2 linked regions of the Drosophila melanogaster genome follow. The protein of the gene in region 1 binds, or shares a complex with, the protein of each later gene. Each region holds a gene or a part of one and is shown on either strand. Other genes may lie near its edges.

What was found. The genes of interacting proteins can lie anywhere in the genome.
Region 2: vir (region 1) and Flacc share a complex: the UniProt entries of both Drosophila melanogaster proteins name them as parts of the WMM complex.

The regions. Positions count from the first base shown.
Region 1 is NT_033778.4:23,364,509-23,368,260, forward strand, and holds the start of vir (virilizer), read right to left. Parts: upstream 1,848-3,752; 5' UTR 1,747-1,847; coding exon 1,681-1,746; intron 1,616-1,680; coding exon 939-1,615; intron 880-938; coding exon 1-879. Other genes in the region: Ice1 (uncharacterized protein), read left to right, coding at 2,596-3,752. UniProt on the Drosophila melanogaster protein: Associated component of the WMM complex, a complex that mediates N6-methyladenosine (m6A) methylation of mRNAs, a modification that plays a role in the efficiency of mRNA splicing and is required for sex determination.
Region 2 is NC_004354.4:18,891,580-18,895,331, forward strand, and holds the start of Flacc (Fl(2)d-associated complex component), read right to left. Parts: upstream 2,058-3,752; 5' UTR 1,874-2,057; coding exon 1,180-1,873; intron 1,107-1,179; coding exon 464-1,106; intron 282-463; coding exon 1-281. Other genes in the region: SdhBL (succinate dehydrogenase, subunit B (iron-sulfur)-like), read left to right, coding at 3,083-3,314, 3,446-3,752. UniProt on the Drosophila melanogaster protein: Associated component of the WMM complex, a complex that mediates N6-methyladenosine (m6A) methylation of mRNAs, a modification that plays a role in the efficiency of mRNA splicing and is required for sex determination.

The DNA of each region.
Region 1 (3,752 bases):
TCTTTCAACAAGTGCTGGAAGAGCTCTTCGCTACTGCCCAGAAGTTCAGCCATTCGCGCACCCAGCTTGATGTGGCGGATCTTAAAAGCTGGCTGTGGTTGCATGCATGCCGCCTGGAAACTCAGGGCAATCTGCAGCACGTTAGCCGCCTGTCGCAGATGTAGCTCATCGTTTCCGAAGAACTGCTGCAGGACAAAGTTCCTCCGCTTGTAGTGCTGGGCTAGGTAACCCAATTGGTTGTTCAGTTGTTCACCCAAGTACACAAATTGCTCCCTTTCGTCCACACTAGCGCCATGTTCCTCGCTGAAGGCATTAACATTCTCACAGCGGGTTTGCAGGACCAGCTTCTTAAAGAGCAGCTTCAGAGTTTCCAGCTCCTTGCAGAAGTGGGCTGCCATGTCCCCTTCAAAGACCAACAGTGGCTTCTGCCACGGCTCGAAAGCATCGATGGCCGGAGGAGCAGCGGCAGCAGCAGCCTCCAACTCCCGCTCGTACTCCGCAATGGCAGCCGCATCCACTGCGTCGTCCTCCTCGTCGTCGCCGATGATCTCGTCGTCACTGAGAATGGGCTCAAACTGCTCTTGCGGCGTGCACGATCGGTCCTCATCGTCCCGATCCCGTTCACCACGGTGCAGCGACTCGGAGGAGTGCCGGTAGTGAGATGACTGCATCTTGTAGTGGGAGCGCGAGTCCTCGTCCTCGTAGTCCATCGTGTCTGGCGAACGCGGACGTGTCGGTGAGTCTATCGACGCGGGCGGGGTTCTGGGCCACTTGTGCTCGTCCACAACGGAGCGAGATCTCTCGGAGCGCTTGCGACGTGACCGATGGCTGGAATACTCCGGTGAACGCGACCAATCCCTGGAGCCCTTGTCGCGGGAACTGCAATGAAAGGTCTGTGATAAGTCTGAATATAATAAATAAAACAGATAACCACTTACCACCTGATGTACTCCCTGTCGTTGCTCTCCGAATGCGTGTGCGATCTTCTGGGCGGTGGCGGTGAGTGATCCGTGGAATGCGTGGACCGACGCAGTCGTCGCATCTCTCGCTGCTCCTGCTCCTCGGCATGCTGGTGGTAATGATCCCGCGACATTCCATACTCCATGTCCTCCGGATCGTAATCGCTGACATTTCCTTTGTGAGCGGTCAGCAGTTCGGCCTGCATCGGCTCCTGCCACTCGTCTTTCAGCACATCCTCCTGGAGGAGCACCTCGCCACTCAGGTTGGCTATCTCCGGGCCCACGGGCTCGCAGGGCAGCGTTGGACTGGCGATTGGCTCGGTCACCGAGTTGGTGAAAATGCCGTAGATGGCCAGTGTGATGGTGCTGTACCAGCCGCGCAGCACCAGACCGTCGGTGACGATCTTCTCCTGCGAGCAATCCAAGTGAATGCAGTCGTTCTGGTTGTAACGCAGCAGGCCGAGGTTCTCGAATGCCGACGCAGCCGGCATTCCCAGGTCATTGACGAAGAACTCCAGGTCGAACTTGGAGGGGTTGGTGGCGCCCAGGCGAACGCCGCCGGGAAAGTCTGCCTGGACTCGGGCGCCGAGAGGAATGATCCGCACCTGTGTGATGAAGACCGGCTTGGGAAACTGCACCAAATCCAAATTGATGTCCTATGAGGAGAGGAGGAAGTGGGGTTCAGCGAATGCACCGAGTGGGGGCTTCTGGAGGCACTTACCGTCACTTCCTCATGCGAGAAAGTGTCGAAGAACAGCAGCTCGGACCCGTCGTCTACGTCGGCCATGTTGTGTGCTTAAATCGAGTCTTTTTCAGTAAAATCTTCTACAGTCCGGAAGTTTTATTTATTTTCCGCAACTGCTAGGGATGGAACTTAAGACGATAAGTGATCGATATCATCAATTGCTCTACTACAATTGGTAGGGGTATTCAAGAGGGTATGCTTTAGAATATGTTGAATACATCTTTAAAAACTAAACAAAAATTGTCTCAGTCTAGTAGCTTGCGCAAAACAATGCATCAAATTTTAACGTCACAATTGGCTCATGTCTAGAAATGAATTGGATTTTTTCTCAATATTCCCCATTTTTGGTAATGATGCTCTCAATGTTTTCTAAAAGATTGTAAAATAGCCCTAAAAACCATAGGCTTAAACCTAACGCAGGGAATCGCACTGATTCAGAGTACATTTGTTTCCCTTCAATGGACGCACGCAAATCATGTAAATTTAGTTATTATCAGTAATTCAAAATTTACTTCCTCTACAATATTATCAAACTATAATTCGAACCTCTTATTATAAATAAAGTGTGAACTATCAAAAACGAAGTAGTGAGAACGACCTATAAGAGTTCCATAAAATAGTCCCATACCATATATATCGATAGGCTCGTGCTGGGTTGTCGATAAGGGAAATGTTTTGGAGACCGGCTGCAGAGAAAAACGCGGATTTTGTTTTATTTCTCTGTTTTGTGTATTAAATCGCCAGATGCGCAGCTTAATATTGTCCAACTCGTGACCGACTAGCGAATTGTGTGGAAAATGAGGATTCTCCTTGTTTTCTGCAAGTTCTAGAACCGCAGTGGCGCTTGAACACGCAACCACGTGAAATCCAGCAACAACAAGTCTGCGCAACATGAATTTGGACGAGTTCTCCGACTTCAATATAGATCAGCTTCTGGGCCCAAGCGCACCGCTGCAAGATGCTCTGGTGGCGCCGTATAAGCAGGTGTCGCTGCCCAGGAGCAACCAAGATGTGTACGCCAAGCGAAGCCGGCTGGCCGAGCGAATAGCCCAGAACGACGAGCTGATCCGCCAGGTGAAACAGCTGCAGGCTCAAAACAAACAGCTGGCCGACCTGCAGCGCACCGCCCAAGAGGTGACGGATCTGTACCAGAAGGAGAAGCAACAGAGGATCGAGCTGGAGAAGCGCACCAAGCAGATCGGCGAGCGATGCGGACAGCTGGAAAAGGAGCTGGACGTACAGGTTGGGAACTGCGAGAATCTGCAGGAGCAGCTGCAAGTGCGGGGACTACCCGTGGAAGCCAAGGATGTGCTGTCCATACTCATGCAGTTCTCCCAGCGGCTGGGCGACGATTGTGGACTTTTGCGGCGGGATCAGAACATCATGAAGAAGCTAAGGGAGCACTGCAAGACTATAGACGTAAGCGTGCCCACGCCAAAGAGCCCGAATTCACGTAGCAAACGGAAAGCCCATCAGCCCGGAGTCAACCAATCTACGCAAACCGACGAGGAACCCGCTGATCCCAAGCCCGCGCTTTGCTCTGTTGCTGTGCAAGTGGAAGGTCTGATAGAGACGCGCAACCAGGCCACGCAACACAAGAACACCACCACCACCCGGGGAACCACTACAGCCTCCTTCATCAAGCACCACGATGTGGGCACATGCTTTCCCGAACCAAAGCCCCTGCCAAATATTCGGCAGATACTTGATGAAATGCTATCGTGGCGAGATGATGTCGTAATTGAGCCCATGAGTCCGCTGAGCGATCTGCAGCAGGAGTTGCAGCTCGAGGACGTACCGACCAATGCGAGTGTGGCCACCTGTACCACTTTGTGTGATATACACCGCGAGATTGATTTCGTTACCGACCTGCCGACACAAATAAAGGTGTCCGCCTCGAGGCCGCCCTCACGAACAATGCTGGATAGTGTAAAGGAGGAGGCCAGATCCTCCAGGGAGCTCGCCAAGGAGCTGTTCAACTTTCTACCTCAAAACCAAAGCTGCCTGACCAATCTGCCGCCGCAGGCCTTCGAGGAGCTGTGGCAGGT
Region 2 (3,752 bases), on another chromosome or scaffold:
CGCCACCAGCTCCCTCCTCCTCCCACTCGCGTTCCCACTCCGGTCGGAAGTCGCCACGGGGTCCAATATTACGTTCCCTTTCGCGGTCACGTTCTCGTTCCCGATCACGCTCCCTGTCCCGGATTAGACGTTCCCGCTCGTCCGGATAGAGGGTGTCTTCCGTTTCGAGGTCACGGTACTCGCGTCCTTGCAGCTCTCGTTCCCGCAACTCGCGTGCCTCCAGCCAGGCTTCTCGTTCCCGCGAGGAATAGCGGGCATCTAGATAGGCGCGTTTGTAGGCTCTAAAATAAGGAATTCCCAAACAGCGGATTAGCTAATGCCGATTTCGTGGCCATAAACATTAATGAGAAAAGGTTCCCGTTCTGCTACCTAGTTAACTATGTTCTAGGTAACAGAAAAAAGTAACCAAAATGGTACAGTTTCAGCTTTTCGTGGAATAGTTAAGTGCAGAACCTAAACCTACCTCTCCCGCTCCTCCTCGGAGTACAGTTCCCGCGGATCCCGCAGTCTGGGTGCATAATGCTCAGGCATGGGACTGAGGTCCCTGCGCCGATACCTTCGCATCTCGTCGATCAGCCCGTGGCCGTGTCGTTCCTCCAGATACTCTTGCTCACGCTCGTAGGGATCCAACTCGCGCTTATCGCGGACATGACGCCCGCTCCGTTCGCGCTCTCGTTCCCTTTCGACGGTGTCCAGCGATCGCTCCCGGCTGCCATACGGCGGAAGATCCAAGTCTCGACCGGGACCACCGCGTTTACCACCTTCCTCTTCCTCCTGACGACGCAACTTTTCGCGAGCCAAGCGTTCCCGCTCCCGTTGACGTTCTTGGCAGCGAGCCAAGGCCTCAGCGCGCTCCTTATCCCTGGCTGCCTCCCGTTCCGCACGCTCGCGCTCCCGATCCCGACGATCTCGCTCCCGCAATGAGAGATCGTGGCGTTCGCGCTCTCTTTCTCGTTCTCGCTCGCGCTCCCTTTCCCGCTCCCGTTCCAGGGACGGAGTACGTCCACGTGCGCGGGTCTGGATGATGATCTTCTCTCGCGACATCAGTTGGTGATGCATTCGCGAGGATGAGCTGCTGCTGCCGCCTCCAAGACCAGAACCTAAACCTTAAAGTCAAGCAAAATTAATGGGTTAGTGGGTTGAGCCTAGACATAACTATATGTAGTATCTGATAGTTACCTGGACTCTTTTGCCGCTTACCCACGATGTCCTGATGGATGCGAATCTTGGTGGTGGTGGTAGTGCTGCTGCTCGGCGGACTCCTACTGCTGCCCAATCGATGATGGTCTCGCTCTCTGTCTCGTTGGACGACGCGCAGCTTGTCCCGCTCCCGTTGCTCCTTGCTGGCAGCCCGTAGCCTCTTTCGCTCGGCCAGCTTCTTTAGCTTGGCTCGCGTCGTCGGCGACAGGGAACGATGGACGTGACCACTGAGGGCGGCGGCCGCCCGTTTCTTAAGGCGCGCTTCCTTCAGTTTCCGTTTGATATGATTTCGCTTGGCCACCAGCTTCTTTTGCACATGATCCCGTTTGTCTCGCTTGCGGCGCGACGACGATGGTTCATCTCCGGACGAGCTGCCGCCGCGCCGTGAGCTCTTCTTTTTGCGATGATGACGCTCCGCGGAGCGCGGATGATGCCCATGGCCGTGGGTATGGGGATGACCGTGGACGCTGCCACTGCCGCCGGGACCACCGGCGCCACCAGGTACGCCCACCCCCACGCCGACGCCGCCCACGCCCTGCTCGCTGTCCGTGCTGCTGTACGAGCTGCTCCCGCTGTCGGAGTCCGAGGTGGAGTCCGAGCTGCTCGAGTGCGTCGCACTGTGACGGGCGGCCTTCTTGTAGCGGCGCAGCGACTCCTTGGCCTTCTTCTCCATCGCCGCGATCTCCGCTAGCCTGCGCGCCTCCGTTTTGGCTGCTTTCTTTTCGTACTCCGGTCGAAAATCAGCACGGCTATGCGGCTTATAACTAGTTGCAGCGTGTCTTGTGGTATAATGTCCTTGTTCGGAGGCGCGGACTTGCCTTGTTGTCTATTTTGTTGGCGTTTTCTTTAACTCTTCTTCTTCTCTATTTTCCTCTATATCTTCGTGTTTGTTGTTATCGATAGTCGATTGGCAGGGCATCGCGACCATCGATTACAGTCAGCACGGCGGTACATATCGATCGGTATAAGTTTGAAAATATTGTTTATTATTGTATCACATTATTATAATAAAATATAATTAAATAATTAAGTGCCTTTAACTATAAATAAATATTAATTTAACATTAAAAATATTATTAAAATTAATAATATTAATTAATACTTGTATTTATATTAATATATTGTATTTTTGTAACAATTTCTGCTTAAAATGAGTTCGGTTTTGGATTGAATTACAATTTCTATATCAATTTACCGGTTCAGCAACGGGGATTCAAATCTGACTTGTTATCCATTTTTATACCCGTTACTCGAAGAGTAAAAGGGTACCCTAAATTTGTTGAAAAGTATGTAGCAGTCAGAAGAAGGCGTTTCCGACCATGTACAGTATATATATTCTTGATCAGGAGTCGATCTAGTCATGTCCGTCTGTCCGCCATGTCCGTACCTAGAAGGTTGAGATCCAGCATACAGATTCTAGAGACAAAGACGTAGCGCAAGTTTGTTGATCTTTTTTCGCATTTTTATTAATCTTGTAAATTTCTATCGATTTGCCCAGAAAATGATAAAATTTCGCGTTCTCACATCCACTAGCTGAGTAACGGGTATCTTATAGTCGAGGAACTCTCTTTAGTTGATTTAAATTCCACGCATCCAAAACATTGTATAAAGCAGCCTGTTCTACTACTCAGTTAAACTGAACTTTTCATTTCGAAAAGATTTTCAAATCCAGCTGGCTATGCCTCTAGTGTCAAGTCGTATTACGGGCACTTCACCGGCTTCTCCTCAGTTTTGCTACACAGTTCGACACTTCAACACCTCAACACCTCAACACCTCATCGCCTCGGCACACATTCTCTCTCAACAAAAAAAAAAAAAAAACACATATATTTTTATAAGTACACATTTTAACTTAAAGTCTCATTCATTCGCTCGAAAACCGATGAATTTGTTGCGCCGGCAGCCTCGGCTGCTGAATAAACGGAGCACGTGGCTGTTTAGAAATTACGTGTTGGCCAACAGGGATGTGTCCGAACCCGTTTCCCGTCCTGCGGCGCCTATGTCCACCCTATCGATACCCGGACCAGCGCTGGCTGCCGCCACCCCAGTATCCGCCGTATCCCTGGTACCCCGGTGCACCCACTCCAGCCTCCAAGGAGGTGGACAAGGAGCAGGTTAGTTCTAAGTGAAAAGTTTTCTGATTCCACAATTTTCTGGGTTGTCAATGACTTTGTCATAATGACATTTCATAAATGACACCTGCACTTATTGATATGCTTAACTGAAATTTCTATATTCATTAAAGGAGGAAGAGGGCTCAGAGGATCAGCCACCGGAGGATCAGCCGCCGGAGGAATCGCCACAAAACGACAGTACTCCGGAGGAGCAGCCCCCGCCGGAGCCGCCAAGCCGGGAGGAGCAGCCCCCGCCGGAGCCGCCAAGCCCGGAGGAGCAGCCCCCGCCGGAGCCGCCAAGCCTGGAGGAGCAGCTGCCGCCGCCGCCGGATCCGCCAAGCCCGGAGGAGCGTCCACCGGAAAGCCAGCTTCGGGCAACGCACCAGCAACGCCTCCACCTCCACCACCTCCTCCGCCTGCTAAATCTGCACCCCCAGT